2 linked regions of the Caenorhabditis elegans genome follow. The protein of the gene in region 2 interacts with the protein of the main gene of each other region in a pairwise test. Each region holds a gene or a part of one and is shown on either strand. Other genes may lie near its edges.

Region 1 (4,810 bases), 5.1 Mb from region 2:
CGGATATCAATTTGCCGGAAGTTTTTAGAGGGCTTTTTTATAAGACGGAAACACTGAAAACTGTGCTTTTTTGAAATTTTTTTCCCGTTTTTTTTTCTTACTTTTTAAAAAAGGTGTAGGAACATTTACAGGATGCGTAAAATTTTGCCGGCTGAAATTGAAGTTCTGAAATTTAAAAAAATGTGCAAAACCACAAATTGCCGAAAATTTTCGACAATTTCCGTTTTTCCGGCAAATCGGCAATTTGCCGGTTTACCGACTTGCCAGAAATTTCAATTCCGGCAATTTGCTGATTCATCAGAAATTTCAATTCCGGCAACTTGCCTATTTTCCGGAAATTTCAATTCCGGCAATTTGCTGATTTATCAGAAATTTCAATTCCGGCAACTTGCCTATTTTCCGGAAATTTCAATTCTGGCAATTCGCTGATTTTCCGGAAATTTCAATTCCGGCAATTTGCTGATTTATCGGAAATTTCAATTCCGGCAATTTGCTGATTTATCAGTAACTTCAATTCCGGCAACTTGCCTATTTTCCGGAAATTTCAATTCCGGCAATTTGGCGAACTACCAGAAACTTTCAATTTTGCCGGTTTACCGATTTTCCGGAAATTTCAATTCCGGCAATTTGCTGATTTATCGGAAACTTCAATTCCGGCAATTTGGCGATTTGCCAGAAATTTTCAATTTTGCCGGTTCACCGATTTTCCGGAAACTTCAATTCCGGCAATTTGGCGATTTGTCAGAAATTTTCAATTTTGCCGGTTTACCGATTTTCCGGAAACTTCAATTCCGGCAATTTGCTGATTTATCGGAAATTTCAATTCCGGCAATTTGGCGATTTGCCAGAAATTTTCAATTTTGCCGGTTCACCGATTTTCCGGAAATTTCAATTCCGGCAATTTGGCGATTTGTCAGAAATTTTCAATTTTGCCGGTTCACCGATTTTCCGGAAATTTCAATTCCGGCAATTTTCTGATTAGTCGGAAATTTCAATCCTCCGGCAATTTTGCCGATTTGCCAGAAATTTCAATTCAGGCAATTTTCCAATTTGTCGGAAGTTTCAATTCCCGCAATTTTCCGATTTGCCGGAAATTTTAATTCCGGCAACAGTTTTATATGACCTCTTTCTTATTATTTGGTTTTTTAATTTAATAATAAAGAACAAAACACAAATTCGAAAAATACAAATTATTTATTTTTACACAACAATAAATAGACAACACACTTAAATGGTCATATCCCGGTTGTTTTAAGATTTATCGAAAAACTACCAACAAACAAAATATTGCTGATGCCTTTTTCAATAATTTTGTAGTTGAACACTTTTCGATATCACTTATTTAAACCAAGATATAGGATACCAAAAATGAAATAGAATACAATTAAACTAAAAACAAATATTTACATTTAAAAATTCAAGCTCCATTCGAATAAGTTTCTCTCGGCGAGTTCTCACAATCATAGATCCCGCGACGACGATTGCGGTATGGTTCCCACGTTCCATTTCTTCCATACGGATGCCATCGTCTCCCATGACGCTGCTCCCACTCGGCAAGCCCATCTCGACAACGGCATGGCGAGGAGTCACTGGAATTGGTTGATGATTTAGAACTCACCGAGTCATCGGAAGAAGAGGACGAGGAAGAATCATCAGAGTCATCAGAAGAGTCGTCAGACGAAGTGTTCGGAGGTTTCACCGACTTTCTCTTCGATCTCTGTTTACGAGCTCGTCGAGCTCGTGGAGCTGGAGATTCAGAGATCGGAAGTTCCGAAGAACGTGGATATTGACACCCTTGGGTGTCTCTACGATCTTGAGAAGTTAACGTGGAAACCGTGGAGTCGGAATATCTATCTTCATCGTCCTTATCTGAAAGTTCAGATTCTGAACTATCAGATGACGAGTCGAAGAATCCGTCTCCAAGAGGAAGTGGACGAGTGCTGAGCTTTCTCATTGTAAATGAGATGCTCTTCAAGGTGAGAGGTGCTGGTTTTATAGGTGGGTTTTGTTGACGAATAGTTTCGAATTATTTCGAAGAGTTTCGAAATTAGTCATGACTTTGATAAGGTGGGCAAATATTGATGACGATATGTGTGTAGTATTGCCAAATTTGAGGAGAACTCCTTGCCGTTTGATCTCCGAAAATTGGGGTCACACAGAACATTTCTGGAAGTACATAGAAGTCTATGTTTCCCGCAATTTTCAGAGGTCAAAAAGTAAGGAATTTGCAAATTTTTTTGCAAATTTTTTTTCCGGCAAATCGGAAAATTGCCGGAATTGAAAATTTCCGGCAAATCGGCAAATTGCGGAATTGAAATTTTCCGGCAAACTTGAAAGTTACCGGAATTGGACATTTTCGGCATACCGGCAAAGTGACAAAATTTAAAATTTCCGACAAATCATCAAATTGCCGGAATTGGAGTTGTGGCATACCGGCAAATTGACGGAATTGAAATTTCCGGTAAATCGTAAAATTGCCGGAATTGAAATTTCCGGCAAAACTGGGGCAATTACATAACTCTAGAAGGAGAACATTTTTGAATTCATAGCTCTTATATCTCTATAGTAAAATTTATGCTATAAATTTATATAAAAAACGTCCTAAAATTGTATTTTGCGCAGCAGGACCCATCTTTGTCGTGCTTTAAAGTTTCAAAAATAGAAACTCATTATTGACACACGAATTTATTTTTAAAAAAATACAAATAATAATAAATTTTATATTTAATTTGCATACTACAAAAACAAGTAATTTTTATCAAAAATTGCAAAATTCCGGTAGTCAAGTTAGTTCGTATGGGGTGGTTGAGAATTGATAACCCATACGATCCGGACCGCAGGAATTCGAAAACTGTTGGGGAGGAGGAAGTATATATACTAGAGGCAATGCAAGCGGTGGACGTTTCTCGAGGAATGGTGGTGGGTTTCTCTGGGTCTCTAGTAGTGTACAAAATGCGCTCCACCGCAATTCGATAATTAGGAGACTGTGTCAAACAACTTTATGTAAGGTGTAATTTTTTGGGTAAAAAATTGACTAATGATTTGAAAAAATCTATTTTAAAAAATCTGCATTTCAAGCCTATATATACGAAATCTTATTTTGTTTCTGTAATTTTTATTATTTTTCGAATTTAATTGAAAAATGCCTAACTAAAATTAAACGTTTCTTTCTAATCAACTTGCCCACCAAATTCCAACAATGCAAAACAGGAAGTCAAGTTGTTGCCGATGGGGTGGTTTCTTCAGATAACCCACCGACTCCGGACCTATGCCTGATAAAAAACCTTCTATCAACAGAGTATATATACCAACGGTCTGTTAAGTGGACGACGGTGTGTTGATAAGTGGCGTTTCAATGGAGCGCACTTGCAATAGTTGTGAAATCAGTTAAAATTTTGCGCTAGTAATTCAAATCCACATATATTATACATACATTACTTTATTTTTACACAATTAATACAGGCATAGTTTTGCACTCGATTGAACTTGTCCGGGATTCTTCTAGGCCGCCGCCGGCGCCACCCCCTTGTTCGGGCACATTGCTTCAATGATATTTTCGTCGGTACATTGACTGTCTTCACAACAATATCATGTCCACAGCTCTTTTTAAAACCCTCCGCCGCAAAGCTGACCATATCGATTTCTTCGGCTTCCTCCTCAAACTTTACTCCATATCCTTGCGAAGCGTACTTGCACAGAGACTCCTTGATGTCCAGATCGGTACACTCGTCCTTGCAGCACATCTTCCAAAGATCCACATCACTGCTGCGATCTGAAAAGCGATGATTCGGTTTTAACCTGCTAAGAATGATATAATAACATACCTTTCTTCCCACTGCAAGCTTCAAAAGCGCGATGAACAAGATGGGATCCACAGGAACGATAGGGAAGGAAGGCCGCATTTGGGACCGGGTGAATTGGATTGGCATTGGTGAGCACGGTGAGCATAGCAATGCTCAAGGCAATTGGCAGGAAAGCAGCCATGGTGTTCAATCGTCTATCCGGTTCGGGATGAGAGTTGAGGTATGATTCTTATTTTGTTTTCGATTTTGAGTGGGGGGGGGGGAGGGAAATGCTTACAATTATGACCTATGGGTCACGTCTTTTACGTGGAGTGTCAATTTGGGAATAAGTTGAGTGACTTTTCTTATAGTTTTTAAAGGCCAAGTTAAAATTGAATGTCTATTTAACAACTATACTTTATTTTTTGAAAATTGATTTTTCACTATTCTGCAAGCTTATTTTGTCCCCTCGGGGACTGGGCCGAGCCCGGCAGCAGTGCAACGCCAGGACGACCCTTGGGAAGTCGGAGCAAGCCCCGAGTCTTCCCTAGGTTCCAAAAATCATATAACCTTTATTACACTCATTCGAGTGTATACCGTAGGTTAATACGATAAGAACAGATACTACACTTTGATCTTAGCTAATAAGCCGAAGAAGCGATACTGAATGGAGGAGAGGGTAGGGGTAGTGGGGAGCTGTGTACCGACAACTCGTGGGTGCGCGTGGAGCACTCTTTGTTTCGTGGCCTAGAAAAGAAAGACAATTAGGTATGTCTTTGAATTAATTAAAAATCTTTATATAATAAATTAATTAAAATATGAAAAGTTCAAAGAAAAATCAATAAATTAAATATTAGAACTCGGTGAAGTGAATAATTTCGAAAGTCCATAGGATTTTTACACGTGTAATCGGGGGGAGAAACTGTTGGGGAAACGTTATTAATTAGCTGCAACTTTTTCGGGCTCTTTGGCGTCGTCTGGAGTCGTGCTGAAGCCGGAGTCCTTGCCCTGAAAGTAATTATAATTGT
Region 2 (4,838 bases):
TAAATTTCAGTTCAAAAGCTTGAAAACGGTTCTTTCTTGCAAACAAAACCTAGTACCTCTTCACTTTAACATACACTTCACGAACAAGTTTTCTTTTGAAAATAATTTCTGAAAATCACGTTAACGAATCTCAAAATTCAGGAAATGCTCAAAAATGTCTATTTGCGTACTACGAAATTCCCGAAAAAACATCTGTGACTTTTTTCTCTCTTTTTGTTCGAAAAAATAACTTATGTCGCCGTGGTGGTGCCCTCGGGAATCGGAAAGCGTCAATGTTGTGTTTGTTGTTGTTATCCCAAACGAGAAGATGAATAAGAGGAGGAAAGATGAACGGAAAGCGAGAAAAAAAGAAGATGGAACACGTACATGAGCTTCTCCTGCTTTGAATACGAATTCAGTTGGTGCCTGCCCTCTCTTGGCTTGAAACTAGAACCTCTGGAACCTTTTCGAGTCGACACCATCAACCTGCTCATAAAATTCAATGCAAAAGAGAAGTGCGGAGACTGGAGGGAAAGAGATATTGAAAAAGAACTATAAAAACTATAAAGTGCAAAACGAGTAAAAAGAGTGAGAAAAGAAGAATAAACTAAAGAAGCAAAATGTTGGAATCAAGACAAGTTCACTCAACCGAAAATGATCTCTTTTATACTTTTTAGAGTCAAGAAACATGAATCAATGATTCTAAACTTATAGAACCTTTTCCAATAACGATTTTAATCCGAGATGTGGGCAGGGCTTGTTTTTGAAATATTCAGGTTATTTCCTATTTTACTTCAATTTCCTTGTCATTAATCACAACTGCGATTTCAACCACTTATTTAGATCTTTTAAAATTAAGCTTAAAATGACCGATAACAAAAAAAAATGAATTCAAACATGTTTTGGCTTTCTCTAGTAAAAAAAAGTGTACTTTCCGGATATTTTTTTGCAATTTCTTCATGATTTTACTAAGTTGAAAAATAAAGACAACGGTACCACGAGGGTTAAGGCACCTTAAAGTATCTAGTCCGGAGGCCCAAAACTACAAAATTTGGAAACAACATGGTTTTAATTACTTTTGAAAAAACTGAATCAGATAATACTTTTGGTTTCCTATCTTTTTATTTTAAGTATGAAAAACATAAAACAAAAAAGAGTCAAAGAGACACGAAAAGTCGCAAAAAAGAGATCTAGGAAATCGAATAATAATGAAATTTCATATTGCTCTCATGTGTGTGTTTGTGTATTTTTGCTGTGAGCATTGAGAAAATGGGAAGAAACAAAAAAAAAATGAAGAGGAGGTCTTTTTGAAGGACCCCAGTGATGCCAAGAGTCAGTGAATCCAATTAGAATGCCCTCGAGAACATGAAAAGAGGTCCAAAAAATAAACAAATGGTACCGACTTCTGGAGACCCTAATTTGAGAGTGAAATCCTTTTTGCGTATTTTTTGCCTTTAATTCGGAATTTCATCAGTTTTGTTTACCCCCACAGCACAACCGCGTTTTTTTTCAATACCAAAATTACAAAACGCGAATTGCAAATTCAATCATATTTTTTTAAGACTTAAAAATTCTTTTAAAAATTTTCCTCGCAACTGAAATGTAAAAAAACCACCCAACGAAAAAAGTAACGTTTAAATTAGATTCTCGGAGAATGCTTTGATTGGGTGTTTGCATTTGGCGCCGCCAAGGTGTCAACATAACCATTTGCACCTGCCATTATTCCGTAAAAGCTAAGGACAACACAAATTTATTATTATTATTATTATTGGGATAAATATTACTAATTTTAGTAATAAGTTAAGTAGCTGGGTGCCAAAAATAAATAAGAATCAACTGAATTTAACATCTGTCAGCCTTTGAGGACTTTCTCTTGATTCCGAGAGCACGGTTAGCATCATCGATTCTGAGGTTTTGGAGGGAACGACGCTTACGTCCTCCTCCTCCGCATCCACAGCATCCACATCCACATCCACATCCACAACAGCATGGACGACAGCAAGTGCAGCATCTGGTGCAGCAGCAAGTTCTACAGCAGGTACAGCAACGGCGACAGCAGCAGCAGCATCTAGAAGTTTCAGTTAAAGCTTACTATATATTAATAAAATTAAACTATATAATAAAATTGAATTTCCATTTTTAAAAATTCCATGATATGCTCAATCTGGTAAAATTTTTTATAGCTTCAAGTATTTCCAAAACTGGGTACCTTGGTCTACAACAGCAGCATCCACATCCACCACCTCCTCCTCCGCATCCACAACATCCACATCCACAACCGCAGCACCCACATCCTCCTTGTCTTTTCACTCTTGAGCTAGAATTTCCTAGAGTGTCGATGGCAGTTGAAGCTGTTGAAACATCAGTTCCAACAGTTGCCAACTCAGTCGATGATACTGGAAGAACCGCAGATTGAACCTGGAAATATTGAAAAATTGAGAAGATATTAAGTAATTGAAAAATAATTCTCACTTGAGAAACCGCAATAAAAGTTCCGATGGCAAGGAGAATCGCAAGAGTGGAAGTAGTCATTATAAGATTAGGAGTTAATGAGAATGATGTGAGTTTCCAAAGTTCTTCCTCACTTTTATACAGGCTTCATTGCCATTCCGGAAGGGATATTGGCCAACATGTTGCGTAATCGTAATCACTCGCGGAAAACTGTCAAAATGTCTCGATCAATTCAAACAATTTGCATGTTGCTCAACTTTGCTACCCACTGGTGATGGTTGATCACTTGGATCTTGACTGGAATTTAGTTTATTTGAAATGAACTTTCTTAGGTAGGAACATCAACAACTATTGCTTCCATCTTTCTCTTTTTAAACTGATGTTCGGCTTCTTTCTTCCATTTTAGTCTAAAAAGATACCCCATCTCAACCTCAAATCGCAGACTTACAAAAAAATGAAATCACTTTGTACAATAGTTAGCTGATCAAATCACTCAAAGATAGCTCTTGTTTCCGTGCAAAAAAAACTGTGTTTTCATTCATCAACTACTTGTGTCTTCGCACCTTTACTCGTTTGTTTCCGTCAAGTACTCATCTATTTTTATCATATTTACCGCCCACAGGTACATTTTTTGCACATTTGGTGACTCGCCGGAGGTCACACTTTTGTTTTTGGAATGGATATATGACAAGGAGACAGAAGACACAAAAAAATGAATGAAGTGCCAGTGATAGTGAAATGGAGATGATACGTAAAAATGTATGCCAACATAAAATGTATGCCAACTCCGACATACTTAATTGGCAATGATGATGATGTCTCATAATTGATACATTCCGATTGAGGACCGGGACGTCACAATGCCAGTCTTCTATGTTTTTTCTAGGATACGCCCTGACTTGAATGTAGTAGAAGCTCTCAGACAATTATGTTTGCGTATCTTGTTGACAGTTGATCATTTCGGAATATTCAAGCCCTTTGATCAGCAGCCGATCAGTAAACAAAACAAAACACAGCAAAATGATAGAGCTGGGTCATCGAAAATCGCTTATCACTATGTAATACTACTATTGGTTTGTTAAATTGACATTGATCGTTGGTGAGATGTGTTGTGATAAGAAAAGAAAAACAACACTTGTAAAATGGGGATGTTGGTTGATGTCTCTGAGATTCTTGCAAAAAATGTTTATGTTTATGTTGTAACTGTATTGTTGGAATATATTACAAATCTGGAAGATTTCAAAAAAGAATATTCGGAAAAATTGTTTTTAAAATTAAAGGTGGAGTAGCAAAGTTTTGGGACTTTTTCCATTAGACTAAAAATGGGCTACAAAGACTGAAAATTCAATTCTCGTGGGGCATTTTAAATCTAATGAAGCATAATGACTGAAAAAGTACATCACGGTACAATGTACAATGAACATACTTTTTATCAAATGTTCTAAAATCAGTCCGATACTGTAATTTTCATTGTCTTTCTAACAATGAAAATCTGCAACATTCATAAACATGTTATTCTTTTTCTTTTTTAAAAATTTGATAGGTGCAATCATTGATTTGATGAACTCGTTGTAAATATCATAAAAACTGGATATAAAATATGATAAGAAAATGATTTTTATTTGAGAAACTCTTCTTATGTCTTCTTCTTATGCTAGAATATAGTGTTGTTGATATGTAAACTTTTGATTGAATCTTTAATATTATCATCTCATAAACAGGGCTATAAAAGTTCAAAAATATTCGTGATTCCCATAAAATAAATGTTATCAAAATGGGAGTTCGATGTGCACACTCGTGACTTTCAAGAACACAATATTTGATTCAGATCAACTAGAAGTAGAACATTAGTGAAGAACTCGAACTAAATGAGAAACCTAAACTTTTATCTTAACTAGACAAATAAACTGATAGTGATCATGAAAATATTCCCCGAAATTCAAAAATTCTTCCTGTGACACACTCTTCACTTTTTCCCACACTAAACATGTATTTCAAAGACATTCCTGTTCGCGTTCCCGCCATTGTTTTTTGTAAATCCATGACTTGACAAAAAACAGTGCCTTGAGCAAACTTCCGCTGACGTCCGAAATGTGCCAAGTGTTCTTTGTGCTTTACGTTTCATATTTTCTTTGACGAACGTAGAATTTTACTAGAAAATTGGTTCAAAAAGCAAATAAATTTTAATATTAAGGATGAGGATATTTCAGTTCATTTGGCACATTATTTTGTATTTGATCACAAAATTGCTCAAAATAAACCTCGCCCAAAATTTGGTTTGCAATATTGGTTTGAAATATATTTTTGTAAACAGGAAATATATTTTTCTTCAGCGATAGAGACATGGGAAAGAAAATGTACGCTGATGATCTATTAACCAACATCGTATAAAAAGCAAAACTAGTTGT

Evidence for each region. The genes of interacting proteins can lie anywhere in the genome.
Region 1: the proteins of idpb-4 (region 2) and F08G2.5 interact in a two-hybrid assay, tested with the Caenorhabditis elegans proteins (one large-scale study listed by BioGRID).

The regions. Positions count from the first base shown.
Region 1 is NC_003280.10:13,831,678-13,836,487, forward strand, and holds F08G2.5 (WW domain-containing protein), read right to left. Parts: upstream 1,955-4,810; coding exon 1,418-1,954; downstream 1-1,417. Other genes in the region: ins-37 (INSulin related), read right to left, coding at 3,435-3,772, 3,825-3,984; F08G2.7 (uncharacterized protein), read right to left, coding at 4,722-4,790.
Region 2 is NC_003280.10:8,735,013-8,739,850, forward strand, and holds idpb-4 (Intrinsically Disordered Protein, class B), read right to left. Parts: upstream 2,545-4,838; 5' UTR 2,512-2,544; coding exon 2,452-2,511; intron 2,398-2,451; coding exon 2,189-2,397; intron 2,048-2,188; coding exon 1,822-2,047; 3' UTR 1,714-1,821; downstream 1-1,713.